4 linked regions of the Arabidopsis thaliana genome follow. The protein of the gene in region 3 interacts with the protein of the main gene of each other region in a biochemical or structural test. Each region holds a gene or a part of one and is shown on either strand. Other genes may lie near its edges.

Region 1 (7,604 bases), on a different chromosome or scaffold from region 3:
AGGCTTATGTTAAGGTCTTTCAGGTAGAAATTCGATTTTAAGTATCACAGTAGATTAATAAATAAATGTAGTCGATAGATTTAGGTCCTCTTGTCTTCCCAAATAGTGTACTCTGAATAAACCGAAAGGACAAGAACTTTGTTTCTAGAACCTTAAGCTCTTTAAGACAAGAGAAAACGCAGAAGTTCCATTGTTACAGGAACTCTTTAGTACATATTTTGCAAGAGTTCTTTTCAGTACACTAGTCTAACAGGTTCTTGGCTCTATACATGATGCTTCACATACTTAAGATATTAACCTATATATACTAATTAAACATCACTATTCCCCCATTAGTTTGATGACGATGATGAAGTACTTGTTGTTGTTCCTTGAGGCTGTGGTACATCGGTTCTCCTCCTTTTTCGGCATGAATTGACCGGAGCATCATACTTTCCGGCATCCAAAGGAAAGTTGAGAACAGCTTTTCTTCCCCTGAGCTTAAAAGCTGCATAGTCGTAAGCCCTTGCAGCATCAATATCACTCTCAAAAGTGCCTAACCAAATCCTGGATCCTTTCTTTGCCGGATCTCGAATCTCTGCTGCAAATTTCCCCCATGGCCTCCTTCTCACGCCTCTGTAATGTCTCGTTTCTTCAAACCTCTTTGTTTTTTTCCGGTTTGAGACAGTCTCAACCTCAGGTGACGTTGTTGTTGATGATGATGATGATGATTCTGCTTCCATTTGCAGAATCTCTTGGACATAGGAATCTGGATCAAGAACAGGTGAACTAGGTTCCAGTTTCGGAACTGGGTTAAAGGGTTCTAGAGACCAGAGTCCGGAGACAAAAGCAGTATCATCAAAGACAAAATCTTCAATGAAACCATCAGGGATCATCAAGTCTTCAAATAGATGTTTCTGTATAACATCCAAATCAGAGCTTTCCTCAAAAGTCTCCATTTCTTCCTCTCTCTTTTTTCTTTAGACAAGACAGGAGAATAAGAAAAACTGCAAGTGGTGTTTGAAGAAAAAGTTTTGATGATATTGTTGGCTATATAAAGAAAGGAATCCTAAACATGTGTTAACGCAGCCATGGGTGAGGTGTCAAAAGTCTCTCTCTGTGTCTCTCTGGTTTAACTCTGTGGGGCCAAGTCTTATCCATTAAACATTTATGGAGGCAACTTAAGATATTTTGTCAGGACCCTTCAAGTTGTGCCAACTTGATCTTGTCTATGATGCTGACAAATTTCACTAACATCCATTTTATTCCTCTAGAGTTTAAAATACCTTGAGCTACCCATGGTTCGAATCCTAAGCTGAATGCTAACAAAATGGTGATTATTTTTTTTAACTAGAATTTTGATTGAGTTGGTTAAGGACGTAGGTTCATTTGAAATTTTAAATCTAAAACATAACACAAACCAAAACCAAAAAGACTTGAACTACTAGTGTTTATAATCGTAACTTAAGTCTTTAAAAGCCAATCTCTCAAAAGTTTTTTCTTTTTTTTTTTTATCTTAAAAGTTTTATGATAAGATTGATATATGATTTTCGTAGTAGTAATGACTCACTAGGTAAGCTCTTAAATATCAAAAGATATTTTGCATATTCACATTCGAGTAAAAAGATAAGAAGATAATGACTTTCACTCGAATAAAAAGGAGAGACAAATTCATCAAATTGCTTGTCTTGTAGGGTTGTCTTGCTAGGATATGATTTGAAGCAACTTGATATTTCTTTGTTTCTACATAACTTCGTATAGGGCTCCACATATATAATAACCAAACCTTACCCTCTTGCTCAGTTGCTTGACAATTATACTCCTAATCTCATAATCTTTTATAATAGCATGTAAGATAATATTAATTATTTACTTTTATTGATGCTTTGTAGATAATCTTCGACAGCATTATCCATTTGATTGGTGTTTTCCACTATTGAAATTTTGAATTTGTTTAGATTTGTATGTATTTTTAACTAATTAATTGTCTTTTCGTTGCACACTATTTTTTTATAGCTCCGATTTACTTTTTCCTGATCCAATTTTATAATCTATTGACTATTTAGCAGATATGAAGTGTTTAGATATGGACTTAACGAAACTGATGACTAAGAATGTTTATACAATCAATAAATTTATAACATCAACAAATACAAAATTAAATTTATATTTTCAACATCCAAATATTCTACTAAAAAAAATAATGAATAAAATGATTGGTACTAATTAAACTACTTATTTGATATTTGCACACTACCGCTACCTTTATATTATACAAGAATAAATGAAATCATGAGAGTGACGCAAGTGAAAACGTCATCGTACGTTGACTTTTCCGAAGTTTTAAGTGACGGAGATAACGGAAAAGTTGGGAGACGTCGGAGATAACGGAGGAATACTGAAAATACCATCTCCTGCTCCCACATCCCAAAACCCCATCCAACTTGACGGCGTCAATGGTACCACCGGCTCAACCTCAGCCTCCGTCGTCTCCGACGTATTACTCTCTTCTTCCTCCACTTTAACCCTAGCCGCCTTCTCCTCTTCCGGCGGAGAACCCTTATCTCGCTTTCGTTTCCCTAATCCGATAACTCCTTCCCCAGAACAAGTTTCTGACGTAACCCTAACATCGAGAGGGAAATTCAAGATTGCTTTTCTTCCACGTAATTGAAACGCCGCTTGGTCATAAGCTCTTCCAGCTTCCACGGCAGTGTCGTAAGTCCCAAGCCAGATCCTACAACCCTTTTTGTTCGGATCCCTAATCTCCGCCGCGTATTTTCCCCACGGTCTTCGTCTCACTCCCCTGTAGTGCCTCTCTTCTTCCTCTTTCTCTGTCTTTGTTGAAACCGTTCTCGAGACGGATAGATTCGGTAAGGGCGGTTTACGCTGGTTAAGAGTCGAATTCGGTTTAGGGGATTGGTTGGTGATGGTTCTAGGGCCTGTTTCTGAGTGAAAGTTGTGAAGTTGGTTGGTAAAAAGAGATGGGTGATCAGTTTCCATGGAAACAAAGTCTGTGAGAAGGTGTTGGCTTATGAAATCGATGGCTAAAGCTTCTTGTTTAGTTGCCATCTTCACTCTACTTGATTGACTCTCTTGCTCTGTTGTATATGTGTATGTGTGGAAGTGGGAATAAGAGTGACGAGGAATCGGACTTTCTTATATAGTGGTAAAAAAACAAAGAGAGGGTTCGAGCCTTCGAGGGAGTTTCGAGGATCGGACCGAGAAAGATCATACTACCTTTTCTTGGACTTGTTACTTATTTTCTCTCTTTAGATTTCGTCCTTTTTCTTTATTTTGTCTTTTTGTCTTATTCCTCTACGTGGACATCTATCATTTAAAAGTGCTTATCAAGTTATCATGTGATTCTTCTTTTAGAATTTTTAAAAATGCAATATGGATTATTTTTAGTATAAGTGGAGTTTGATTGAGATGTATTAAAAATTTAAGGAGTTTAAAGAATTCGGAAAACCTATCAAAACTTTGTTGTAGTAGTTATGCCAATTCCAAAAGGCAAAGGACTTGGAATATTCAATCAAACACACCTTCATACATTTGCCAAAATTCTAACCATTGATCCTATATTTCTATTTCACATCTTCATCTCGACAACTCAAAGTTAATATAGTTTCTAAGTTTTTTAGTTTCGGTCCAAAACCGATCACATGCAAACAATTTCAGGAAATATCTTTAATACTGTTTTAGAATTATTTCAAAAATAGGGAAAAATTTTATTTAATGATCCAACTTTTGAAAATATATGATATTTTTATATATCAATTTCACATGTGTTAATTTTTTAACATGAACAATATGTTGATTAACTGTTTGAAACATGAGAATGTGTTGATTAGACTAAAAAACCAAAGAGTTATCAAGCGATAACAGATTTTTAACACTCGTTGGCACCTGTTAACGACTTCGTTAGTCAGCCCAAAACGACATCATTTAAGCTTTGATCGAATTAAAATTAGGACTTTTCCCAAATTCAAAAAATCAATCCCAAATTTTCCTAATTCATGCTTTTGACGAAACCCTAATTATCTCCCACAATCTTGAATTCGTTTTCACGAATACCTTCAGTTAGAAAGAAAAGCATCACATGGAATATTGGATTACCAATGCAAGACGAATTCGTAGACATGCAAATTGCAATGGTAACACAATTACCATAAACATAAAAAAAAATAAAAAAAAATATGTTAAATTACGATAAGCATAATCGTAATTGTTTCCTTTCCATAAACTTATATTTATTCATATATCAAGAGAAATTTAAACGTAATTAGTAAATTGTAGATATGGGTTCTTCAAGTTTCTTAAGCCATTGAAGGAGATTCGCGCTTGCAGACAGACGTACAGCCTCGTTTATCAAGAAAACAGGTCCTCGGTAGTCCGGCACAGCAAAAACACCATTTTTGATTTCTGTGTTTTGCACATTCGACACGCAGACACATTGATGGATCTAATTGCAGCTCCGCCTCAGAACCTTGTGCGTTTCCAACTATAACAAAAGAGAAAATAGGAGTTAAAACTAACTATAATTGCGATGGTAGATGATGAGTTATATGCATGCAAAAATGTATGTACTTACATTCATGTAAAGGAACGAGGAAAATCATGAAGAGGCAAAGGATAGCAAAATATAATGATGACATTGTTGTTGTGATATATTCTTCTTAAAATTATACCGAAACGTTGTTTGTTATAGGTTGGTCGAAATCCACACAAGTAATAGGGTTTTATATAGTACTAAACTACTAATTAAAAGTGCACGTCTCTTGTTATAGTGATGCACAAAAAAACGCTTAGAGCTAGTTGTTTTATTAGTTTTAGTTCTTTGCTATTCCTTAGTAATATGACCTTTTCTCTTAAAAGAAAATTGTTTTTGAAAGAAATACTAATCAGACCTAAAACCATTAGAAGTTTAATTTGGTCGACAAGAATAAATGAAGAATCATCCATCAAATAGTGGTTTCAATGGAAACTAAAGTATAATGGAATATCTATAATTTATATATATATTAAAAAAAAAAAAATTTTGAATGTTGAATTTGTTTCATCCAAGAAATGAAGTTGAATGATGGCAAAATAAATAAATAAAATAAAATGAAGTTGAATTGTCTGACCGCTATGACTAAAGAAGCGACCACTCATCAACGCCATCGGCCATAGCTGTTAATTATTTGTTGGATCCACGAAGGAGCTTACACATCAACTTGCCAAAATTTACACTTATAATTGCAATCAATACAAAGGTTTCGTCAATATAATTAACCACACTATGCTACATATCGTCGAAAATTGAAACTAATTTATCCGGTAACATTTTGAAGTTGTAGTTTCATATAGCCTGCAGATACTGTGGTTTTTGTTTAATTGCAGTCTTTTGATTCACTCTTTGTTCGTCGCAAACTTGCAATACTTATCAGATTTTATTTTGCCTGCTAATTATCTCTAGTTCATATCTTTCATTTCACATATTGTGTCGATTTTTTCAAATTGATATATAATAGTTGAGTTCCTTTTTTCAAATTTGTGTGTGTTTACGAAAGAAGAAAAGTAAACGAACGAGGCCAAAAAAATGTGAAATTTTTTAATACATACAAAAAAGATGTGAACAAAAAAAGCGAAGTAACTTGGCGTGAGGTAGAGCAACTTCACTAACAAAGGTGTCAGTTGCATGCATGGACAGGACAAATACTCTCTTCAGTCATGTGTCGTACACGTCGATCTCACCACTGGACCCACTCTTTAATACACAATCAGATTACGTTGTAACAAAATTTCTATTACTGCCAAATGCATTTCTTTGGCACGAAAGACAAAGCTCCTATTTATGCCGGTATAGCCGTCGTATCCTTCATGATCCTCACCGGTTTAACCTTTGCCGGTACGGCCGTGGCTCTAACCGTTATGATACCGGTTTTGGTGGTTCTTAGTCCGATTCTCGTACCGGCGGTAATCACATCGAGTTTCTTGGCAACGGGGTTCCTAGCTTCTGGTAGCCTCGGAGCATTGGGGATCGCCCTCCTCATATGGCTCTACAAGTAATTACTTAAGTTAAAGTAACTAATTAACTCTTCTAATGCTTTGATTGTACCAATTGAAATTTGTTCATACATGCATTGACCACATTTTTATTTTGTGTGTTAGTTAACATTATGTATGTGTGAATGACACTTAGGAAAGAAGAGTATTCCAGAGCTACTTTGCATGCACGAGGAGGTAGGCCTGATGGGCCTAACAAGCTGGCAGAAAGTGGCAAGCAATCAGGAGGAGATAATCCGTTGAAGGAAGACAAGCCGCCAGAAAGAGATAAGCTGCCGAGAAAAGACAAGCCATCCAAGGAAGACAATCTGCTGAAAGGAGATAAGCCGGTCGAGGAGGATAAATTGCCGGCTGAGGAAGAAAAACCGCCACAAAAAGATAAACCGGCGGAGGGACACAAACCGCCACAAAAAGATAAACCGGCGGAAGGAGATAAACCGGTGGAGGAAGACAAACCGCCACAAAAAGATAAACCGGCGGAAGGAGATAAGCATGTGGAAGAAGATATGCCTTTAGGAGGAGTTGAGCATTTGTCAATCCCTGAGATACCAAAGGTACTATATTAGTGATGTTCAAATTTTTTCGTTAATGATTTTTTCACATTTAGCAATTGCCGGGAAAAGAATTTGGATTAGCAAGATTAAACACTGTTCTGCTTTAATATTCCCTTCATAAATTAATGGTAGGTTATGGTGGTGGAGCAAAACCCAATTGTCCCCAAGTGTTGCGGCCCAAGTACTTGTACTAAAAGGTGTCACCCATTTCGATTCGCCATGGATGCTAATGCTACTAAAGCACGATCTATTTTTATGAAAGAATACCAAAAAGTCCCCCGTGTAGGAGCTTTTGCATATAAATATTTTACATCTCGTGACAAAAAATACGTAAACCATTTTCATATATGACATTTGGGACTTGGGTGGTTATTATTTTAAAGGGTACGCTTTTACCTTATAAAGAGTTCAAACGAAATTTATCATTTTGAAGGTATTAAATACTATAAGCTAATGTGTTTTTGTTTATAAATATGCTGCTATTAATGTACTTTAGAAAGCGTAAATTTCAGTTATGAAAAAACACATTAAACAGGTGGAATCTCTCAATTTGTCAGATTACCATGTTTTTTTATTTTATTTTAATATATAAAAATTGCAATCGGAATCTTAGTCGAGATTAAATAAAAATCTAAAACTCAGAACCTACTAGATTTTAATTTTTGATCAAACTAATCATATTTTTTACCACCGTAGATTTTGTATGTGTCACACACTGACTGCAATAAACAAATAAACAAAAAAGGTTTCCCTAAATAAGGAAACGAGGACTTTGTTCCTATATTGATCTAAATTTCCAAGTATCCAATTAGATCTCAACGCGTTTAGATTGGATCGAATTATATCACAAAGTTATTTAAAAAAATTATACTCTGAATTTATCGCAAATATATATAGGAGTATATATATGTAAAAACTTTGGAAGAAATAGAAATATGGGTAACTTAGGAAATATGAGATATTAACTAATATGGATGAAGATAAAAGTAAGTAAATTCCAGTTATATTAAGATTAGGATTGAT
Region 2 (7,885 bases), on a different chromosome or scaffold from region 3:
AATGGAAACATTACATATTAGTGTAATTTAGTCACGTGAAATATATTGTACAACTGTCCCACTAATGTAAACATTAGAGCCACATCAATTGAAGACAACATAAAAAAAAAACTTTAAGAGCAAAGGTAATGCAAACCTGATTAACTAGCTGATTTTTAAACCTTTCCGGGTGCAGTTTTCTCTGGGAATGAAATGCATAAGATACTTGAGCATCCATTCCTGCAGTAAAATTTGATTAGGGATTAGCTTGTATCTTCCACAAATACAACCAACCAGTGGAAGTACTGAACATGACAATTCATACAATTAATTTATAATCCAAGTTTCAAATATCATTGACATGATGTTTAGATATCATTTATCTCACACCTAACACAACGTGGAACGTAAAGAGCAAAAAATGTTACCCAAGCTGAAGTAATTCCAGAATCCCCCACGATATGTATGGTAACCTTCCTGAAAATTTGAAAAGAATAATGCTGATCATATAAGAATAAAAGAAAGAGATGATGCGCAAAAGAAGAAAAATATCTTACCATATTTTCTTGATCTGATGGGAAAATACGAGGAAGAGAATGTGGTAGCTTAAGAGTAATATCACAAGAGCCTTCCTTGGGATGCTTCATCCTCATAAGTATCTTCCAACTTGATTAAGATATAAAATGCATACATATATCAATCCAAAAACAAAGTATAATATATGAAAATTGAAAGAGAATGATATATGTGTAATTGAATATATACTTGTCTATCTTCATCTCTTTTGCATTGATCACTTTACCCAAAAAAGACTCCACCGAAGACCTATCTGTTCCAGGATTTTTCTTACCCTGAAGATGATGAGATTTAGTAAGAAGAAACATATTCTATGAGATATAATATGATTTGAGTGATCATCAGTGTATATATACATACCCATCCAAATGCAAATGGAAGGTTGTTACCGGTACCTAAAGGAACCGTAGCAATTGGAGGTGGATTGGATAAATTAAGATCAGAAACAACTCCAAGGAGCCAACCAGCTGTTCCATCTCCCCCTGCAACCTAAATTAAACATAACTCATGCTTAATGACAAATGACTAAATTATTAACACCTTTTCTATTTACGTACCGATGAAGATAACTCACAATGATTTTCAACTTGTCCCGAATCTTGCTAGCCAAACTATCGTCTTTTAACCTCTCTAGGTTAAGATAAATTCTCTGCAGCACTTTATCTGGGGTCTCTACCTCCAGATCAAAAACCTGAGTACCAAATATGCTATAATTAATAACCAATTAAAAAACATGGAAATATAATATATGATAATGATCATCAGTAAAATAATGTAGACAGTTATCTAATTTAATTAGTTTCCATATTTCAATCAAGTTTGATTTTTAGGGTTTTTAGGTTAAAATCAGATATAAAATCAATCAAGTTACGTATTTAAGAAGAATCAACGAATTCATCACTTTTTGTTGTAGAAGCCAATTTCAAAAACCAATGAATCATTAGTCTATGGCTAAAGCCTAAATTGATATATTATAGACCTGCTTGTCGTTGAGCAGAGTACGGTAGGTAAGGATGAGTTCTGCACCTAGTTGACCTCCGCTTTTGGAGTTGATGAATACGAGGATTGGGTTCTCAGGTGCAGTTGTACAACTGATTTGCGCCTCAGGCTCGTCTTCAGGCGAGAGAACGTACGAAGGTATGAAGAATTTCTTAAGGAAATCTGATAAATTCTTGTATTTTTCCATACTCGTCTCTGACTGAACCATTCACATATCAACACTCATCAAGTATTCATATTTAAGATTAATCAAATAACAAATATATAAAATCGACATCGTTAATCATGCAAAAGACGATCGAAGTAGACATCATACCATGAAATCTCTCAAGGGGTTGAAAGATAAAGTTTACTATATTATCGTGTCTTGAAAAAGTAATTAGATTTAAATAATGGAGATCCTGAAGATTTTATAACCTTTTGTTAATGGTATTGCTATACCAAGACTAATTAGGAGTTAGAACAAGGTTAAAGGCACAACGTTGATTTTCCTTTTTCTTTTATATAGATAAAAACACTAGTACTCTTAAATGGTCTTTATGCACATGAAAACGTGATCTTTAACATGCATATCTAATTAGTAATTACTGCTTTTTTTGTTTGTCAAAAATTACAGTCTTTTTTCATTACTTTTTTTGTTAAAGGATTTATATCTAATTTACTGCTGACATATGGAAATGGAGTCCATTGTCTTTGTATTATATATCATCTTTCATATATTTCATACTTTTCTTTAGTTTAATATATTTATACCAATTTATACATATTTAGATATTCTACAAATATTAATTTTTTGTCATCATTTGTTTTATATTTTATAACATTTAACTTATTAAGGTTAAACGCAATTACAAAGTGTAACTTAGCCCGTCACTGATGAGCTCATTTTTACAAGCAATTAAGCCCATTAAGGGTGTAAAGCTTAATTCCACTAATGGCCCATTAAGTAAAAAGCGCTATAGTATTAGGCCTTGTTCGAGAATCTCCTAATGCCATGACTTAGACACAATCTTTGGACTTGACATCAATACATCATCTCTGACGATGACCGATTTCCTTTGGTAAATCTCTGACGATGACCAATCCAGAAGAGAAACCTAAGAGTAGATAGAATGATGCAAAAAAGAAGTGAAAGGATAACCCCACATCACATCTCTTTCCATGTGTCACCTTCTGCATGAATCCACACATTGCTATTTTAAGAAGGTGAAAATATTTTAAAATGTAGACAATAAGCTTCGGTGTGAACTTCGGAGAAGCCTGTGGTTCTTGTGATAAAGGGGATATCGAATTCAAAGTTTGTTGCACTGCTTTCCACCAACAATTTAACAAACATAAAAAATAAAATAAAAAAGTTTCACTTCTTTTGCAATTTTGTAGTTATTTAATTTGCTTTTTGAAATCGTCTAAGTAGTGCCAACGTGGATGGCTTGTTCGGAGAGAGCCTTCCACAAGCAATTGAAACTTGGAATAACGTTGCATAAGTAAAATGTTGCAATCATCAATTTTAAAAGCACAAGGCACATGACATTAACACGTTATTTGAAAGTTTTTTTGATGAGAATATCCAACTACTTTACCGTCCTCACTCTCTTAACCTTTGAAACTCTAGGCTTTATGTTCCAAAATTCAACGTAACATATATTCTCATACTTAATTTTTCAGGTTTTCTTAAACCAAACATTATGTAAAAGTCAACTTACCTATATTAACATGCAAAGTCAACATCTCTTTTTTTGTTTAAGCAAAGTCAACAACTTAACCCACAAACAAAAAGCAAAACATGCAAAATTATTAATGTGCTTCACTCTGACTCTCACCACCATAAGGTAAACATAAAATACTCTCACCGCCGAAGTTACCCCCACAAGGTTTCTATTTTAATCTCTTAGTTCCATTACTTTATCTACATTAACATACAAAAGAACATTCTATCACTCCAAAATATACGCATAAAGATATTATTATTTGAACTAACAGAATCTAAGTTAGATAGATAGATTATATTAAATACCATACATACTATCACGTGGATCGTTTCTAGAATATACAGTAAAAAAAAAACGTTAGGCGATATGTAGTCTAAGCAAGGTTTATAACCTTTTGTATATTTCAAAGGACGTGGCATATTAGGTACATGCCAAGTGGAATTGACCTTGGCTCTCTTCTACATTGATAAAGTTCTTCGCATAATTCACATCCCTATATAAACAAATGAACGGAGAAGGTATGAGTACATCCACACATTGACATTTCTAAAATCCAACTCCTCTTTTTGAAAATTAAGAAACTCCACTTGGCTCTTCGATTTTTTCTATCTAAATAACAGAACCAAATCATTATCGAAATTTAAAGTTGTGCGAAACAAAACAAAGATGGGAAGATCACCTTGTTGTGATAAAAATGGAGTGAAGAAGGGACCATGGACTGCTGAGGAGGATCAGAAACTCATCGATTATATTCGATTTCATGGTCCTGGCAATTGGCGTACGCTCCCCAAAAATGCTGGTACGTATAAACTACACACCGTTCCTTATATTTTGTTCTCATAGATTAATATATATGTTCTCTATTTATTGAGTCACACACTTATAAGTCGTATTGTACAAATTAAAGGACTCCATAGATGTGGAAAAAGCTGCCGTCTTCGATGGACCAATTATCTAAGACCGGACATCAAGAGAGGAAGATTCTCGTTCGAGGAAGAAGAAACTATCATTCAGCTACACAGTGTTATGGGAAACAAGTAAGCCTGATCATTCACACCATAATTTTTGTCTGAAATTCATATTCATCAGCTACATGCTTTTGTATGTTAATTAATGTAAAACTCAAAAAGGGAGAGTGTACGTTTGCATGCGGGGGTACATGTCAAATGTAGGCCATCAACTCCAATAAACTATTATTAGTACTTTACTAGTACGTATTGACCTATATTAGAATAATAATAAAGGAGTTTTGTATTGATCATAGATTAATGTCACTAATATTGAATTGATGAATATTAGGTGGTCAGCAATAGCCGCTCGTCTACCAGGGAGGACCGATAACGAAATAAAAAACCATTGGAACACTCACATCCGCAAGAGACTTGTAAGGAGTGGTATCGACCCTGTTACTCATTCTCCACGCCTTGATCTTCTTGATTTGTCCTCACTTTTGAGTGCACTTTTCAACCAGCCAAACTTTTCAGCAGTTGCAACACATGCGTCTTCTCTTCTTAATCCTGATGTATTGAGGTTGGCCTCTCTACTACTGCCACTTCAAAACCCTAATCCAGTTTACCCATCGAACCTCGACCAAAATCTTCAAACTCCAAATACATCATCAGAATCGTCTCAACCACAAGCTGAGACTAGTACAGTCCCAACAAACTATGAAACTTCATCATTGGAGCCTATGAACGCAAGACTCGACGACGTTGGTCTTGCAGATGTATTACCACCTTTGTCAGAGAGTTTTGACTTAGACTCGCTCATGTCAACGCCAATGTCTTCTCCACGACAAAATAGCATTGAAGCAGAAACCAACTCCAGCACTTTCTTCGACTTTGGAATTCCGGAAGATTTCATCTTAGATGACTTTATGTTTTAATTTTCAACATTTGCATACACATGTCTTGCTTTCACACATATGATTCTTTGTTGCATTCTTTCTTTTGTTTGATGTATAAATTTCTTGTTTTTATTCTCTCAAAAGATATTAAGTTATTAGTCTATAAAATTTTCATGAATGTTTATGTATTATCTGCTTAGGCGAGATATCTAAATTCTGCTCCATTAGTCCATATACACAGTTGACGGAAGCAAACATAGAATTATTAGCGTCAAACACATCACATATTCATATTGCTTTGTTCGAATCATCGTCAATCAAGTTAATCAGTTTATGCGAGTTCTATCATTTAGGCCCAATTCAAGGCCCAATTCAAGTTCATTTTAAAGCCGTTAATTTGGCCAATTTAAGGCCTATATTCCGGAAGCTTGTAGAACTATTTTCTAAAAACCAAATCGATAATATGAGTTAGTTAAACTTGGTCTATATAAAATGATATTTTCACTTTTCAATTCCAAGCAAGAGATAAGTGTGGAACAGTTAAATCTAAGTCTTATATAGATAATTTGAATTTGAGGGATGAAGGCATTTTGACTAATTGGTATGGGCAGGTAAGTAAGCAACACAAAGAACGTGTGAAAATGCTTTAATTGGTGGAATTTGGAACTTAAAGAGGAAGATTAGGAAATGCATTAGTGAAAGTGGGGACGACTCCTTTTTTCTCGCCTTTTGGAGTTTTCACCTTTTTCCCTGACGGACCGTTTCCCTAGGCTGGCCTCCGGCTCATATTCATATACCCGTTTGAAATAAGAGGTTTATTTCTTTTTATTTTTGGATTTGTCAATGCTCATAAAGCGTATCAATGATTTAATATATGATTGTAGAGAGTTTTTGTGTTTTGTCCTTTAGATATCGATCCTTTTCTTCCTGTGACTATGCTCCATTCGCATCTCATCCCACCTCGTTAAGGGCTCGTTATGTTTCTCCACCATTCATATCTTTTTTTTATTTTCTCTAACTCCTATCTTTAAATTTTTCTCTTTCACATATTTTTGCTAGCGTTTTGCGAAATTAAAAGCCACCATGTTATATACATGAACATGTAAATACATTACAAATGTACATGGATAAATATGAACTATACATTATGCTTAGTTACTAATGTAGACATGTAGTTAAGAATTCTTAGTTACTACTAGAACTAGTAGTACAAAACAAAAAGACAAGGCCTATAATTTCCGGAGCTAAACACAGTTTACAAAGGGATTATAGACTCTAAAACAAACCAGAAACTGCCAAAAGTCAGGAATCTCTTGTTTTTCTTCCCTCACATCTCTCTTCTCTCTCTCTTCACAATAGTCCTTTGGACAGAACAAAAGAGAGAGAAGATAGTGAATAATGGAAGGCTGCTTTTCTTCGTGAATCTCAGAATCTTAAAAGACTCAGATTTGAGAAAACGTTTCAATATCTAAATCCATTTCTCTCCCTCTCTCTTTAGCCATTTAGAATGAAGAAAAGTCTCACTCTACTCATCCTCCTCCTCTGTTCTCTCCTCTTCTCCACCGTCTTGAGCAACCTACTCGTCGAACCGGTCCAACCCAACACCGTACCAGCCTTCCCCGTCGAAACCCAAGCTCAAAGCTGCCGACTTGACCTCTCCAACGAGCTATTCGGTGGCGTCAACGAAGCTTGCGGAAGAAACCTTGACCGGAGTCGATGTTGCCCTGTTTTAGCCGCTTGGCTCTTCGCAGCTCACGCTCGCTCTGCTCTCCAGTTACCAGCTCCTGCTCCAACGCCGGAATCTTCTGATCCCGACGAACCCATGAAGCCTGACGACTCTCAGAAGTGCGTCAACACATTGCAAAGTGCGCTTTTGACTAAACAAATCAAGATCCCTCAGCCTAATTCTAGCTGTGACGCAATCTTGTGCTTCTGTGGTATTCGTCTCCACCAGATTAGCTCACTCTCTTGTCCCGCCGCTTTCAATGTCTCCTCCGGCTTCAAAAACGCAACTCCGACCGCCGCCGTGAAGAATCTTGAAAAAGAATGCCGGAACTCTTCTTACTCCGGTTGTACCAGATGCCTCGGTGCTCTTCAAAAGGTTCAATTTTTATAACTTAAGTTCAAATTTTTCGCATTCCGTCACATTAAATTTTCATTCTTTATGTCCCTAGTCCCTACACTAAGGATTCACAGAGCATTTAATGAAATTTTTTTCTTATCCTTAAAAGCATAATAAATGTTTTGATTTCATTTGCGTGAAGTCTTCTTCAGAATGTTCAAGTAGCTGTCACTCTCTATCCATGAGTAACATGTTCACCAAACTCACAATAACAAATTTTACTGTTAATTTTAGGGTTTATGTTGAAAGAGACACACACAAGCACATTGTTGGTTTTTCTTTGGCTATCCTTTTAGGTTGCAAACAATTGGAGATGTGCTTTTTCAGAAACTTTCTTTTTTCGTATAGACCCAAAGCACTGCAACACTCTGAAACCCTTCACTTTCACACGCAATCTTTTTGTTTTCCATTATATTAATGAATCTTGTTTTTTGTTTCAAATTTTGATGGGTGGATTTACAGCTAAAGGTAAGAGGAGGAAACAAGAAGACAACAACAGAGAGAGGGACTAAGATGATGAGCAAAGATTGCCAGCTCATGGGACTCACATGGCTACTAGCTCGTAACAAAACGGCATACATTCCCACTGTTTCGGCTGTGTTAAGAGCTATTATGTATAGTCCACACCCACCTCACCTCAACAAGTGTAGTCCT
Region 3 (8,986 bases):
ACGATGAATGTTCAGCCATCTTCTTGATTTGTTTCCCAGTCTCAACATCCCAAGCCCTTACAGTTTTATCCGGACTAGCTGATACAATCTGGGAGCCATCACTGGTCCAATGAAGATCAAGGATGGCGTTCTTGTGACCTTTCAAAACCATGAAGTTTTTGCAGTCCCCGTGAACTCTCCAGAGGAAGATTTCTCTGTCATGGGATCCAGATGCAATCAGAGTTCCAGCAGGATTGAACTTCATGGTATAGACAGCACTCGGATGTCCACTTAGCAACATGATAGGTGCTTCCAAGCTCGAGGTCCGGTTCTTGCCATTGGGACCAGGTCCTTGAGAAGCACTGTGTGGGACGGTAGACCATTCCATCGGCCTAGGACCTGACAAAGCAGTCTCATTCTCTCTTGACATGATTTCCATCTTAGCCTACTTCTCACTGGTAATCAAGTTAGAACCTGGATTCCATGAGAAAACGAATCAGAAGATTGAGCGAATTATAACAATATTCACACAGCTGTGTAGCTTTTATAGATATCTCAATTTCAAAATTTTCAAGCCATTAATCAATATAACATCCGAAAAGCAGATAGTAAACACCAAGAAGTATCATGAAACCTGCACATTCTAAGTAAAGCCTACAAAAGCAAAAGGTTGCAATGTTTATTCTCAAGCCGCAAGTAAATAAACACAGATCATTAAGAAATCGATATCTCTCTAAAACTTGTTGTGGTTTTGCACCAGAGACGAAAAAAGGACTTCAAGTCCGGTTACAGAGATCTCACAGATTCAATTTTGACATAAAGCAAAGCAACCACTAACACCAAATTTAGTACTAGCAGCTCGATTCGTCTCAAAATCGAAACATACATGCATGATTCACCTCCCATTATATTACAGACAGTGAAGAGTTCAAGAAAAAAAGCTTGATAGATACCAAAATTCCAGCAGAAGACTTCATAGAACGAAATTACTTAAAAGAGTAACCCTACATAGAAAGAAGTTACGCACCGAAGTCAAAGGAAGGGGAGGGAGGCACGAATCGCTCGGTGTCGTCGCAAAATTACCGGAACCCTAAACCCAGAGAGAAAAAGCTCGCGAGAAAGAGGAAGAGAGAGATTCAGAAATTAAACAAGTCTGTATTTAATTTTGGTTTATTTGCAAAATATTGATAAGACCCTATTTTATGACGGAATGAACCCGATACTATTCTTTTTGTCAAAATAACCCATCTCCTGCATGTTTTTTGGGCTGACAAATTGGGTTTCTTTTGATTGATTTTGACGGCGTAGTAACAGAAATTTATGGATAGCCACACCTTAGCTTAGACCAAACGTTTAGGTACAAAGAGTATGATAAAGTTGAGAACTTAAGACAATGTCAAGAACATCAAAACCATGTCCTGATCATACATTCTCTTGTTTAATCAATGTATTATAGATTGGACTGAGACTCAAACACAGATGCCACTCGATGTCAGAAACGAGCCACTTTCGTGACAAAAGAAGCTTGGAAAGCAAAGATAAATAACGGGTTTGGTTGGACATATCAAGCCAGTGAGGATTAGACCTTAGATGGAACCTTGGTGTCAGTGTCCACCTGTTTTTGGCCTTCGAACTTGTCTATAGCCACTTGAAGCTCGTCTGTGCCACCAACCGCCCTCATTGTGTAGAAGTATACCCCAAAAACAAAAGCTGTCAAGCCACCAGCTACAACCGTGTTCTTGCCTTTTGGGCCTAGGTAACTAAAACCTGGAAATCCCGCCATTACTTCAAAGTCTTTAACCTGCAAGATCCAATGTGTCACATGTTACAGAAGAGACCCAAGTATCAGAAGTATTAGATTATGTTATATCTTCAATATCACAGTTTCATAAATACTAAGATGAGGAATAACAAGAGAGAACTCTGAAGCATGATATAACAACTTTTGATTACTCTTTTTAACATTGCAGAAGTGACTCCAGAAGCCCTGAGGCATCGCAGGACATTGACATATTGTTCATATAGTGAAAAACAGATTACACAGATTGAATACGACGAATTTTCGAATTGTTATACTTATACCTCATCCTAAGAACTACTACGCCAAGAGTAAGTGATAGTACTCACAACGAGATCAAAGATGAGTACAATCATGGTATGAATGAACAACTGAAAGTTGCAAAACATTTCAGCAAAATAGAACTTTCTTCTGCATCATAATGGAAACGGAGAGAAAATCAATTGGTCACATTCATGCCCATCAGTCTAACATAATTGTCCACAAAATCAGCGCACTTCCCTTTAACGAGTCAATCAACCATAAATCATCAACCAAAGCAAAAATAAAGGCAATTAGAAACCTAACTCTACATCTATACATCCAAAGCTAACATCTTTTAAACGCAGGCTACTGTTACTCAACCAAAGTTCTCAAAACCAGATCAAAATGTCAAAATGAAAGGAGAGCAGAAAATATCAATCAAAAATTGGTTCTTTAAGCAAATTACTCCAAAGTCCACAAAATTAAAATGGAATCGAAAGGAACCTGGTGATGAAGGTTTGATGATCACTCGAAAATCCGAAAGATACAACAAAGCTGATATTTTTTTCTTCTACAGAGAATCGTGCCTAAATGCGACAGAAGCCTAAAGTTTCCCTATTTAGTTGACAACTGGTTCGGTGACGCTTAGTGTCGTGGCCACTTACCAATCTATCGAAAACCCTAAACCCAGTAAGAGCTCTCGTGTGAAAGAGGGATAGAGGCAGAAAGCAAGCCGTCTCGAGTTCGAACCCAACTGTATAACACAAGAGAAGAGATTTATTGCTTCATTATGTAAAAAATATTGAGATGATCCTTGTAATTTTGGAATATTATCAAATTGAACCACCATACTTTTTAAAAATCCAAATAACCCTCAACCAAGCATGTTTCATGTTGTGGCCTCATTCACACTATACGACTATCAAGTTCATCGAAATTCTTGATAGAGAACTTTAAATACTTAAATAGTTAATTTAGATACTATCTAATAACTTTTGGCGGTTTATAAGTTTTTGTGTTTTTCAATCTACATAAAATTTAGCGATTTTTCATGTTACAAAAATAATCTCAAAATTAAAGTACAACCCAAAAACATAATATCAATGATAATAACTACATTTATCTATGATTCATTTTCACCCAACATTTACATTCAAAAAAATGCTGTTGTTACTTGTTAATGATAACGATTAAGGAAGGAAGTCAATGGAACAAAAAAAAAAATGGTGATAAGTCAATGTAAAACGATGCCGTTTGTAACCATAACAGTGTTAAACATGAGAATAAAGGATCAAACTTTGAACAGTGGCTTGCTTGCTTGCTTACACACACGGGTCAAGTGAAGACCCAAAAAAAAATAAAAAAATTAATAGATCCGTACGCACATGACTTTCACTTCTTGTCTCTCAGATCTGTTTTGACCCCAAAACCAACGAATATCAATTTCTCCAATTTCATTCATAATTCACTCACCCCAAAATTACAAAAAAAAAAAAAAAAAAAGATTTTCCATTTCCCTCTTCTCGATCCACCACCACCACCAACCTCAAAAGCTTTCATCTTTACCGGTCATGGACGGTGGTTCAGGTCAACCGGCGGCTGATACAGAGATGACAGAAGCTCCTGGAGGTTTTCCCGCGGCGGCTCCATCGCCTCAGATGCCTGGGATTGAGAATATTCCGGCGACTCTTAGCCATGGTGGTAGGTTTATTCAGTATAACATATTTGGAAACATCTTCGAGGTCACCGCTAAGTATAAGCCTCCGATCATGCCTATTGGCAAGGGTGCTTATGGCATCGTTTGGTAATTTTTCTCCGATTCTTTTGATTTTTGGCTTTTGCTTCTAATTGAAATAAAAAATGATTTTTGTTGATTGGGTTTTGGTAAAGTTGGTTACTTTTGATCCGCAATTTGTAAAATTGATTCCTTTGTATCGTTTTTGAGCTCTAATTATGATTGGGATTTATTTTTGTTTCAATGAAAGCTTTATCCTTTTGTGGTTTTATTTGATTTTGATTTTGCAGTTCGGCTATGAATTCTGAAACTAACGAGAGCGTTGCGATTAAGAAAATTGCTAACGCTTTTGACAATAAGATTGATGCTAAGAGGACTCTCCGTGAGATCAAGCTGCTTCGTCACATGGATCATGAAAATGTCAGTTTTTGCTCTTTCTTTGTTAACTAAGAGTCATCTGTTTATAGAGTCTTATGTAGAACATAATAGGATTGTAGATTTAAATACACTCGAAACATGGTAACTACTAGCTGATGCAAAATTGTTTAGGTAAATAGATGATGTATATATTTGATTGATATTGTATGGGCTGATTAGGTTCTGTGTATGAATGTGTTGTATCTGGTGGTTGCTTATTGCATTTAGATTTAAGGGAATATACATGAATGTTGACACAGTGTGCTTGTATTTTTTTCGGTTTGATACGGATTGTTTCGCGCTTATTCAGTAGTATGATCTTTTCCATCTGCGTCAAGATTTTAAATTCTAGAAATCAAATCGTAAAATGTAACCGTTTATCTATGTTGGCGTTTGCAACGTGTAAAACATTTCCGATTGATAAAACACTTACCATCTTTCTGTTAAATCAGATTGTTGCAATCAGAGATATTATCCCGCCACCATTAAGAAACGCTTTCAACGATGTTTACATCGCGTATGAGTTAATGGACACTGATCTCCATCAAATCATTCGGTCAAATCAAGCATTATCCGAAGAACATTGCCAGGTTTTGAGTTTTGAGATTGTTTGTTGACCTATATAACTCGACTTGAAAACGGGGACTAATTGAACTCCATTTCACTTGTCTCTTTGTGCAGTATTTTCTTTACCAGATCCTCCGTGGATTGAAATACATTCACTCTGCAAATGTGCTTCACAGGGATTTGAAACCAAGTAATCTCCTCCTGAACGCAAACTGCGACCTAAAAATCTGCGATTTTGGGCTAGCTCGAGTCACTTCTGAGAGTGATTTCATGACTGAATATGTTGTCACGAGATGGTACCGTGCACCAGAGCTTCTCTTAAACTCTTCTGATTATACTGCAGCTATCGATGTTTGGTCTGTAGGCTGTATTTTCATGGAGTTAATGGACCGTAAGCCACTCTTCCCTGGACGAGATCATGTCCATCAGCTTCGCTTGCTCATGGAGGTAAGTAGTAACCCTTCTTTGACCCAAAAATAAGCTTTGAAGCACTAAAGAAACAGACCGAGACCATTTTCTTTTTGCAGCTCATAGGAACTCCATCAGAAGAAGAGCTCGAGTTCTTGAACGAAAACGCAAAGCGATACATAAGACAGCTTCCACCTTATCCTCGCCAATCCATCACTGATAAGTTCCCGACAGTGCATCCTTTAGCTATAGACCTTATCGAGAAGATGTTAACATTTGATCCTAGACGGAGAATCACAGGTTAGTCCCTAACCTCTATACCATTTTTAACTTGCAAAATAACTGGAATTGCTTGTACGGATCATTCCAAAATCCCGAAAAAAGATTCAATCTAGTGAAGGAATAATAATAATGAGTTCTTGGTTATTTAAGAGTTAGTTAGTAGTCATCACCTCTTATTGATTCTTGATTCTCGATTCTTGATTCAGTTTTAGACGCATTGGCCCATCCATACCTGAACTCGTTGCACGACATAAGCGATGAGCCAGAGTGTACAATACCTTTCAACTTTGATTTTGAAAACCATGCACTCTCAGAGGAGCAGATGAAGGAACTAATCTACCGCGAGGCGCTTGCTTTCAATCCAGAATATCAGCAATAGTTTGAAGAACAGCATTTGGGAGATGAAGATGAGATAAGGGTTTGGCGTTATTTGGTTTGGACAACATTCTTAAAAGGAGGAAAGATCATTGTTTGTCTTTTGTGTATACTTGTGAGAGATGTTGAAGGGGATGGGTCTCAAACTTTATATTTCAGTCTTTTGGATAATTTGTTCTCTCTGTTTTTTTTTTTCCTATTCGTATTTGTAATTTGCCCTCATTTTGTTGTTGCAGTTATTTAAGACTTAAATTGTCTCAGAAATAGTTATGTTATGATAGCCCACCTTCAATTCCTCTACAAAATACTTGCCATTACTGTCAGCTTTCTTGTTTTATAAAACAGCAGGGAGAGAAATATTGCAGGGAGATGAGGATAGTACAAATCATGTCCTCGGGGTGAAAATTGAGCATTTGATGAACACAATCTCAAGTCTTGCACTGTGTCAACTCTTAAGACTGCCAAAGAATTTTGATTGTGGTGCAGGACCATCAGCCTCATCTTTACTTTGGTTTTGAGTGTCTGCCTCTAGACTTGTGTTTCCTCTCCCTCTTTGGCCTCTTAGAACTTGACCTTGACTTCCTAGATTCGTCTTTGTCACTACTTGAAGATTCAGAAGATGAGCTTGAGTCTGATGATCGCCTTTTCGAATGCTGCAAATCAATAAACACAATGTAAGCTAAAAGCTTCAAGCCAACAGAATTATAGAAGATGTTCAAACTAAACTCGATGCAGTTGTTATGTAAGCACCTTTCTCTTTTTGCTTTTCTTCCTCTTGGAATCTCTGCACTTTCTATCTGTGAGCTCTCTCTCCTTCCTATCTGTAAGATCAAATGGCATATTAGAAAAGCAAGACTCGAACTGCGGATTGTATGACATTCCATCTGCTTAAATTTATTGTAAGTGTATACCTTTCCTGGATATGTCACTAGAATAGTTCCTTCCCTTAGAGAGCTTCATTGCCCTTTCAGCATCTAGCTGAGCTCTATACTCACGCATCAATTTATCGGTATCTGCTTCGACTTCTTGCTTTTTCAATTCTTCTTCCTAAAGAGCGGTCACATGAAGCATATAGAGTGAGAAACATTTCTTATCTGTCGATGCTCCTAAAAACATCGATTTATCGATCAGCAGCTATACCTTTTGCTTCTGCTTATATTCTTCCCAAGTAAGAGTGTGTGTAGTCTTGAGACTGGCCAAACGAGCTGCATGCCATTCTGGTGAATGAAATGAACCATCCATCTGCGACTCGCCTCATCAGAAATGTTTTGGTAACAAGATAATAAGCATAAACATAACAATCTAGCCAGATTAACATGACAGAGAGAGGAACAAAGTAGCCCTAAACAAAGAAACGTTTTAAAACGTGATATTTAGCGTTTTGTTGTTTTGTTAAGGATAATATTTAGCGTTTTGAAGTTCAGATGGATTTGTTTGGGCTATTTTCACCTATCCACTCTTGTAATAGTCTCTATATATCCCATGTTATCACGACGTCAATAACATTTTATGAACTTATATTCCATAGAAAAGAATACTTTGAACATGAAACGATTATTAAAAAAAAGGCTATGGAGGATGTTGAAGTTTAAAGTAAAAAGGTGTTATACCTCGCCGTGACCAATGTACTGATCTTAATCCTCCTGAAATTAGACGAAAAGCTCTATAGTTGGCTGACCTAAAGAGGGGAATGTGTGTGCTATCGGATCATAAAGCCTTTGGTAAGTGGCTTGTTTCCATTCCATTTTGAAGATGCTATAAAGGATCTCTTTGATCACATTTTTACAGATTTTTTTCAAGATGGCAATAAAGAGGCTGATAGGATAGTCAAAGAATCACATTTCTATAAAAGTGTGTACTAAGGTTCTATTCCATTGTGCCGGATTGGTTAAAATTGTATGTCAAGAAGGCTCATTAGTCTTCATTGTATTAAATATTGGAGTAATGAATTCAAGGGATCATATAATGTTTTGTTGAGAAAACGGTCCATATTGTTTTATAATGGGCCTAAAGCCTCGTTATAGTAATCGTTATTTTGCAAATAAAACCAAACTATACACGAGCTTATACAACAAATGTCACATTTAAACATAGTTTCTTTAAGAAAAAGAACTAATCATTTCTAGTGAATTATTCAAGTGAAACTAAAAAGAAAAGAAGAAAAAAAAATCTAGATGAAGCAAGCTAAAGCTATTGTAGCACTTTAGCTTTGGCTTTCCTATTTTTGCCAACTTTTACTCTTTTTTATTTAGTTTTCTTTTACTTTTTTTCCCACAAAAATCCAATCCTATGCAAAAGATTTTGCCTTTCACGTCGTTTGGAGCACGATTCACTCTAAAAGGTACGTTTTCTCACAAGTACCCCCAAAAAAGTTGCATACTCAATATACACACAAGCTAATAGTATAAATCACTTGCTTGAAGAATTTGAAATCACTGACGAAAATAATAAGCTCCTTTTACTTTCTTCTCTAGTTTCAAAACGTTAAATACTTTATATTGTTTTTGTTTGTCAACGTACTTTATATTTTACAATTTTCAATACATAAATCATAGCTTTTTATTATCTCCAAAGTTGTTCTCTTTAAAGAAGAAACTCCAATCAAAAATCTCACGTTTGAATGATGATGCAAACAATCACATTTAAATTCTACAATAAATAGTGATAGAGATAATTCATTATTTCATTTGTACAGTTTGGTTGTATGATTTGATTATGGTGTGTATATCTTAGTTGAAAGGGTAACATCGTAAATTAAATGTTACTTTGAAAACCGGAACAGGTAATAGTCGGTGAATAAGAGGGCTAACAAAAGAGAGAAGAAGACTGACACGTGTACATAAAGAAAACAAAGTGGGATGACTCAGTGAAACGTTATGGATTTGCGTGATTCACGGGTTTACAGTAAAATGTTCTCGTCGTCTAGCTCTCTCTCTGTACGCTCTTTTTGTACTCAGTTTTTGTTGCTCCGACTATTTCTCACCGACGGTTTTGTTCTACGTCGTCGTTTTTTGTTTCACTTGTAGTGTATAATTGTTTACACTTATTAGTGTTATCATGAAGACTAAACAATAGTTTAATGGTGGTCAGAATGAATCTTTTTTTCAACAGAGGGAATGTTTTGCATAGTTTATTAACTACATAGCTTAACTTTATTGACCAAACCTTAAGTGGAATTTTCA
Region 4 (7,491 bases), on a different chromosome or scaffold from region 3:
AAAATGAATCCGGGAATCCGTTTTTACATTCCTAAAATGATGAGAAGAATACCAAATCGAATTTCCGACAGAACCAACGCAGCACTAAGGTGACAAAACGAGATATATAACTTACTCCCTTTCAGCTTCCATGGGCACACCACACTCTGCAAGTTTTGATGATTGGTTGGGTTGATTCAGGAGGAAGTACATTGTCGTCGCTGGTTGGTTTCTCAGGGGATCTCCTCTCTGGTAAGTCGCACTGGTTTGTTTTGTAGATACACAATCTCTCTGTCTGCTACATTTATGAGATGCTGCTCTGATCCTTCTTCATCTGACACAGAAGATGCCTCTGAGTTTGATTCATCCTCATCTACATAAGGAAAATACGAAGCCATTCATGATTTGTTTTGATCACAAAGGAGTTGGGGTTTTTTTGGTTATAACATTCTCTTAGTTAGGAGCTTACCGGAGAATTCAAGGCGTTCGGGAAGAGCACTAACAGCTGTAAGCTGAATGCTTTCTGGCAGAAGACAATTACAGAAGGAACCTGAAACTCAAACAGACCATGAGTAAATATTTAGGACACAATTTGTTTGTAACTTAACACAGAGAAAGGTTTATTATATCTTTTACCTACTCGGGCCAGCCGATTAATCCATCCTGGAATAGGCTTTCCTGTTAGCTGCAAGCATACTTCTTCAGTGAAATGGTTACAGTTCTTGGCAATCAAATGGTAAGTGTCACCATGGTACTTTCTTGAAAGCTTCTCCATGTATGAGCGGAAATCTGAACGGGACATGCTGGTAGTTCCCAGTAAAACCGACCGTCTAAAGATGAACCCTGGACAGTTCCTAGGTTCCACCTCATATACCCCACTTGTTGGATACTCGTGAGCTCCATAGCAATATTCCAAATTATGAGCTACATTGAAGTTGAACAACTGTGTCAAAGAGAGCAATGAATAATAACTAAAATAACAGGTAAAATCTAAGTTATTAAAGGATCATAGAAAGTTTCCACTAAATAATCCTCAGCGTTTAACACTTTTCTTGGTCCTACATCTATATCCACAAACAATCCCCTTCTCAAAAGAGCCTAGTATTGCCACCAAATCATTAAGACAGCTATTTTTCTATATCCAGAAACAATCCCCTTCTCAAAAGCATACTAAGTAGACAATGTTCTCTTGAGTTTACAGATATACAGACTCATAGAAAGGTTTCTCCTTTCGTGATCTCAATCAAGAATCTTAAAGAGAAAGAGAAGAAACATACCCTCAATACCAGAATGGAAAATGCCAATCCCAAACCAATAAAGGTAATTGTTGACAGGCGTTAGATCATAGACATTGAGATAAACCGGCGTAAGCGCGGCTTCTCCACTGCTCTCATCCCTCTCATCACTTGAACATGAGCTTGAGCTCAATGTAGGCACCCACATTTTACACACAATATCCCAATTCAAAGTCACGATCGAACCATTCCTTTCTTCCTAAACCTCTGCAACACTAAAAAAAAAAAAAACTGATGGTCATATTCATCATATAAACACCAAAAGTAACAATCAAATGTTCCATAACTTAGATCAAAATAATTGGAATTCAAGCAATTCGAACATAAACAATCAAACATGTATACAACTTCTTCTTTGGCGACTAACGAGAACAGATCCAAGGATTCGATTCACACAGTAGCAATTACACATACAATCAAAAATCTAATCCTCTAAAAGAAAAATCTATCCAATCGCTCGAATTTCAAATCAGGAAAGCCACGAAACATAATTGAAATTGGGCGCGTGCGTTTTCATGTACAACAATCGAGCAAGAGAGATCGAGAGAGACGAGGAAGACGAAGGAAACGGAGCTTACATGAGAGTCGAGCAGAATGGGATTGGTTGGGAGAGAGACTGCAAAAATGATCGAGAAAAGTTTATACACGGAGTTTTTTTCTTTGAAGATTTGCTTTTTTTTTTTGGTTAAAACTTAAGCATATAAGTAATGAACAAAACAAATAAAAGTCAAAGCTAAATATTAGTTGGCAAAAAAAAAATCATATATGTATTTACATATTTAACACGTATGTACTAATATAATTTTCATTGATTATTACACTTCAATATTCAATTTACCCCCCTTTACTTTAAAAAAATATATTCAATATACTTTCTCTCAAATTTTTTGTTAGTTGATTTGTTCATTTTAATTTTTTTATATATACTGAATAATAAAATTTATTTGAAGCCTCGTATTTGGTTTCACTGAAAGAAGCGATACCATTTGAGAATTATGGTGTTCACATCCGTAAATATAGATATGATTCGGATTTCTAAAAAGATAAACAAAGAACCAAAATTCAGTTTTACACACAAGAGATTATTAAAGTTATCTAAATAATCTATTAGCTGTATTAATGACTTAACGTAAGCAGTGGTATATAGGGAAAAGTTGATTTGTGGTATAAAAGTCTAAGATTGGATGAGAGAAACTCTTAAGGATCGACGTATAGGCGATGGTATAAAAATCAAAATGGAAAGCTTTTACCATGCAAAAAGAACCATAGCATTTTTGTTTTAAAGAAAGAAAAAAAAAAGAAGGAAAAGAGTCATAGATATTACCATGCAAAAATATGGAAATTGTAATATATATACGTGATTCCCATATTATAAGATTAGAGCTTTTTCCGCCAAACTAATTTATTAATTGTAATTATTGATTACAAATTTATAGATATTTCAAAAATGAAGTCACAAATGAGAAATGAATCAAATGAAACAATCTATAGAAAACAAGATATTATAAAAGTCAATTAGTCAGAGTTTATACATGCAAAAAAAAAAGAGTCATGGAGCTTTCAAATATTAAGTCACAAATAGGATATAATCGAGACTGCTAAAGATGTTACGGTAATAAATCCGAGCATATTACATGCCATTGAAAAATAATACGTTCTATGATAAAAAGTCATTTGATCGGAGCTTCGTGTTATGTGTTCTCTGTTCTTTCCATATTGATTCGCCTTTACATGCGATTTTTGTCTCAGTAGCCGCTAAATAAGGTGATTGGTTAGAATTTAGAAATATCAAGAGTTGTATTAAAAAACAAATAAACGAATGAATAAATTTTGCTCGAATGTGAACATAAAATAAGCAAAAGATATAGCATAATTCCACGTCAGCATACAACAAGCTGACCCAAACAGAAAAATAGAATTCAAACAACGGTCAATTGTGGATAACCAAACGGTGGGTGTGGAGATAACGGCGATAAAAGCGGCATGCTCAGAAACTCCGTCAAATCCCAGTCATCTATCGCCGTCAAACCTGACTCAACATTCTCGCCGCCGCTAACGTCGTAACTCTCCTCCGTCTTTAGCACTTTCTCAACCACCGTCACTTCCTCCTCCTCGCCGTCTCTCTTCCGTTTGTTGTACAGGCCACGACCATCTTCAGCGCGTGGATTCCACTTGTCAACTTCAAGCGGGAAATTCAGAATCGCCTTTGATCCTCGTAGTCTAAACGCTTCTTTGTCGTAAGCTCTAGCCGCTTCGATCGCCGTCTCAAACGTCCCGAGCCAAACACGAGTTCCACGACGAGTCGGGTCTCGAATCTCCGCCGCGAATTTCCCCCACGGCCTCATCCTCACTCCTCTGTAATGCCTCTTCTCCTCTGCTGCTACAACCGGTACGGGAAGTTCCGGTTTAGGATTTCCGGTTGCGAATTGAATCCACTTGGTTCGGTTCGGTGGTGCGATCTTCAACGGCGGTTTTCGATTGGATTGAACAGTAACGCGAGGAGGATTCGATTGGAACGTGAAGGAATCGTTCGATTCAGATGGAATTTCAGATTTCACATCGAAATCAAAAATCTCCGGTTTGGGAGTGACGAGATCGATTATTTCCGGTTTGGTTTCAAATTCAGAAAACTCGAAACCGGTTTGATCAAATGACGTGAAATCGTTCATCCATCGATTGGTGGTGGCAGTAGTAGGCAACGGAGACAATTCGTCGAGGAGATACTTCTTGATGAGGAAAAGAGCTGATACTTCGTTTGGTGTAGCCATTTTGGAGGAAACAGAGAATTGAAGAGGAAGAGGGATTTGATTTGACAGTGGAGAAGAGAGAGTGGAAAGGTGTATTTATAGGAAAGAGTCAAGTCAATGAGAGACTCTTTCAAGGCAACATCCTCAGGATTTTTTAAACTTAAAATCTAAAATTATCAAATGCGGGATGGTGTATGTACACGCGTGTTTCACCGGTTTTACACCGTTTGATTAGATTATAAACCCCTCGTCAACGGTTTGATCGTGTGGTTCATCAATGGCAGCTGGGGTAAAAAAACAAAACACAAATATTTTAATTAGGCTGCGCTCTAATATTGGGTTTCTTTGGCAGATGATTAGACAAGAATTTATCGATTCATGTTTATCAAAATATTAGTACGGTTTAGTAATAGTTATTATAAAGTACCTTTCGTGTTAATATTTGATTAATTTACTACTCGTTGTGAGAATTCTTCGCATGCATGCATTTGCAATATCAAAATTTAGCGGCCGTATCAACTCAATGTTTGGATAAACACACGTTTTTATATAAAAACTTATGATAGTTGCAAAATTTGATGGAAGAAAAACACTGGTTTTACTTCACGTACGTCGGATGTTATTTTTGTTTTTGGATTAAAAATATTTTAGTTATGAAGACTAGATTCTCTTTGTCGAATGTCGACGATGTTTTCGTATGGTCGCCAACATTTTGTGGACAAAGACCCATGGAATTCTCGTATAGCTGCCCAAAAACATTTAAAAAAAAAAAGTCCAATAATTTCAAGTTCAACCAGTAATTTGTTCATCCAATCTCTACATAATCTTTCGGGATAAAATATCCATTATTTTTGTTTTATACATCTCAGACCAGAAAGCTGTTTTTATTTCAATGATCAACACTATATATATGTTCATTTCTAGCTGTTATATAATCACTGAAAACTAAAGTGTTGTTAAAATGTTGCCGAACATAGTAAAACATTACACCGATAAATATACATTTTTATTGTGTCTACGGGTACAAGCTACAAAATTATAAGCTTATCGCTTCATTTGTAAGTGAATAGATATTACCTTACGTATAAAACATAAACTAAAACGCAAACACACAAAAATGCATGCATAATTAGACTATCAGAGGAATCGTAATATTAAAGTTATAGTCTCGAAAGATAAGGGCTGCGTAATTAGCGGAATCGTAATACTAATTAAGTTCTAGTCTCAATTATTCTACAATAATTATAACCAAAAATATATATTTTACAACAACAAACCATGTGACCACTTTTGGCTTTGGTTGCTGCTTTCGAACGTGATATATCCATTTTACGTCTTCGTACGAATGTGCTTACTTCATCATAGATATTGATTCATACTTGAAACTAATTTACAAAGCCTAACACACACATATGCAATTTTCTATCAGTATGACAATTTATACTATATATATGAAACATATTGCTCAAGGCTTATCCTAGATGTAGGTTTAAATGAATCTTCTAATATATTTTTCAAATCAACGTTTTCACTTATTTAAAACATTTGTAAATAATTTACATGTCTAGTTCAGCTCTGTGTGTCTGTCCAGTACTTATGTTCTTATTACAAATATCTTTGTTTCAAGGGAAATATCAATGGGTATTGCCCAGACGAATCCATAATTAACTTCTCAATAATTACAGAGTATTCATGTTTACTAATTCGTTCCTACAAAAAAAAATGTTTGCTATATTCGTTCATGTTAGCTATAGTTTTTCAAGTTTTTCTGGAAATCTAGGATGTCAAAAACTGAAAGAAAAAAATCTAGTACTTAAAAAATCAATTATTGATTGATTTCTTCTTATCATTAGTCTTTAATTTTTATATATATATATATAAACATGCATTATACATATTTAAACTGGGATAATGGTACCGTTACACCAGAGTTGTGTGTTAGAAAACAGCCAAATGCCAGAATCCACAACAAATGAAAACTTAGAGCCTAGAGGTCCACATGTTTCCAAAACTAGGCTTATGTTACGTATTTGAGTTTAAACTAATTTCTAGACTCTTTGTTTAACTGAGTCTAGAGAGGATGTCAGTTAGATTCTTTTTATTTAAAAAAAAGTCAGTGAAGAAGTTCGATTATGTAAATATCGTAAATGTTTTTTTTTTACAACAAGAGACATAAATTGTAAACTACCCTTAAGCCTCTAAAACGTAGTTAACGAAATTAGACGAGATTAGTATTAACCACTATACAACATGTCCTACTTTCATACTATATTTTCTTTATTAAATTTTTGTTAATATGTGAGATTTCCTGTTCTAATTTAGTTATTATTCTATAAATTTTCTAAGAACCAAAAGTTTTCATATGTTTAACGTTATTATTCTATAATTAATCATCATTTTAATTTACCTTTGTTAATTTTTTGTTCTAATTTAGTTATTATTCTATAAATTTTATAAGAACCAAAAGTTTTCATATGTTTAACGTTATTATTCTATAATTAATCATCATTTTAATTTACCTTTGTTAATTTTTTGTTCTAATTTAGTTATTATTCTATAAATTTTATAAGAACCAAAAGTTTTCATATGTTTAACGTTATTATTCTATAATTAATCATCATTTTAATTTACCTTTGTTAATTTTTTGTTAACATGTGTGATCGCGGTCATAGTTCAGTTAATAAAATAAGAACGAAAAGTTTGATCGTATAATATACTAGTTCATACTTAAATTGTTCTTCTCGAATTCCATTCAACAAAACTATTCAATAACTTCCTTAATAGAATATTTATTTTTTGGCAATTGGACATAAATAGTTACTCTTTCTGAACAGTATACTACAATTAAGTTGGAATATGTAATTTCTACGAAGGTACTATAATACTATTCTATAAATACTTGTGTGTAAAAGTAATCAAAATGCATGTATCCAGTCTATTTCAACCATATGATTGAACACGTGCATTTCTTACATTTATCTCACTTTTATATATATGGTGTACAGTTTCAACTTTAAAAACTGAAAATTGTCAAAAGTACGAATATTTAAAGAAAATGTTTGAATGCTTTTTTCTTTTCTTCTGGTAAGTATGTTTTTGTGTTTTGTTAAAATATAAAAATGAGAATTTTAGAATTTAAAAGGATATATAGTTAAATTGGTAAAGATCTTAGGCGAAATTTAGAGGTTGTCAGTTCGAGTGACGTTTGGAACGAAACTAACATTACATGCTTTGGTTTCGAATCTGGAGGAATTACGGATTTCGGCCCAAAACCTCATAATATTCAGGAAAAAAAAAAAAAGGATATTTTTTTTTTCTTTCTTGAAACACCATTTCTATTAAAAGTAGTTTTCTTATGCGGGGAAAATGGGATAGTTTTCTTAATCTTTCAACGTACCAACAAACTTTTAAAAGTATTCTTTGTTGCCAGAACAAAAGTATACCATCTTTGTCGAAGAACTCAATTGCAG

What was found.
Region 1: the proteins of MPK6 (region 3) and ERF104 form a complex in vitro, tested with the Arabidopsis thaliana proteins (one study listed by BioGRID).
Region 2: of the proteins of MPK6 (region 3) and MYB41, one has a biochemical effect on the other in vitro, tested with the Arabidopsis thaliana proteins (2 studies listed by BioGRID, with this or other methods).
Region 4: of the proteins of MPK6 (region 3) and ERF6, one has a biochemical effect on the other in vitro, tested with the Arabidopsis thaliana proteins (2 studies listed by BioGRID).

Annotation. Positions count from the first base shown.
Region 1 is NC_003076.8:24,764,321-24,771,924, forward strand, and holds ERF104 (ethylene response factor 104), read right to left. Parts: upstream 3,413-7,604; 5' UTR 3,049-3,412; coding exon 2,323-3,048; 3' UTR 2,024-2,322; downstream 1-2,023. Other genes in the region: AT5G61590 (Integrase-type DNA-binding superfamily protein), read right to left, coding at 333-938; AT5G61605 (EMBRYO SURROUNDING FACTOR-like protein), read right to left, coding at 4,296-4,480, 4,571-4,634; AT5G61610 (Oleosin family protein), read left to right, coding at 5,779-6,026, 6,164-6,581, 6,714-6,932.
Region 2 is NC_003075.7:13,965,429-13,973,313, reverse strand, and holds MYB41 (myb domain protein 41), read left to right. Parts: upstream 1-3,788; 5' UTR 3,789-3,929; coding exon 3,930-4,062; intron 4,063-4,170; coding exon 4,171-4,300; exon of another isoform or gene 4,301-4,551; coding exon of another isoform or gene 4,552-4,562; coding exon 4,563-5,148; 3' UTR 5,149-5,285; downstream 5,286-7,885. Other genes in the region: DGK6 (diacylglycerol kinase 6), read right to left, coding at 137-219, 408-456, 537-645, 745-830, 916-1,044, 1,130-1,246, 1,535-1,762; AT4G28100 (uncharacterized protein), read left to right, coding at 6,617-7,210, 7,694-7,885.
Region 3 is NC_003071.7:18,134,886-18,143,871, forward strand, and holds MPK6 (MAP kinase 6), read left to right. Parts: upstream 1-3,360; 5' UTR 3,361-3,591; coding exon 3,592-3,824; exon of another isoform or gene 3,825-4,045; coding exon 4,046-4,175; intron 4,176-4,624; coding exon 4,625-4,762; intron 4,763-4,853; coding exon 4,854-5,186; intron 5,187-5,266; coding exon 5,267-5,447; intron 5,448-5,635; coding exon 5,636-5,808; 3' UTR 5,809-6,103; downstream 6,104-8,986. Other genes in the region: AT2G43770 (Transducin/WD40 repeat-like superfamily protein), read right to left, coding at 1-418; AT2G43780 (cytochrome oxidase assembly protein), read right to left, coding at 1,559-1,780, 2,107-2,166; AT2G43795 (corepressor), read right to left, coding at 6,250-6,457, 6,555-6,621, 6,716-6,851, 6,945-7,046. UniProt on the Arabidopsis thaliana protein: Mitogen-activated protein kinase (MAPK) which regulates abscisic acid (ABA) responses in a MAPKKK20-MKK5-MPK6 cascade involved in root growth (e.g. root cell division and elongation) and stomatal response.
Region 4 is NC_003075.7:9,749,780-9,757,270, forward strand, and holds ERF6 (ethylene responsive element binding factor 6), read right to left. Parts: upstream 4,383-7,491; 5' UTR 4,043-4,382; coding exon 3,194-4,042; 3' UTR 3,045-3,193; downstream 1-3,044. Other genes in the region: AT4G17486 (PPPDE putative thiol peptidase family protein), read right to left, coding at 213-352, 449-529, 616-903, 1,257-1,422.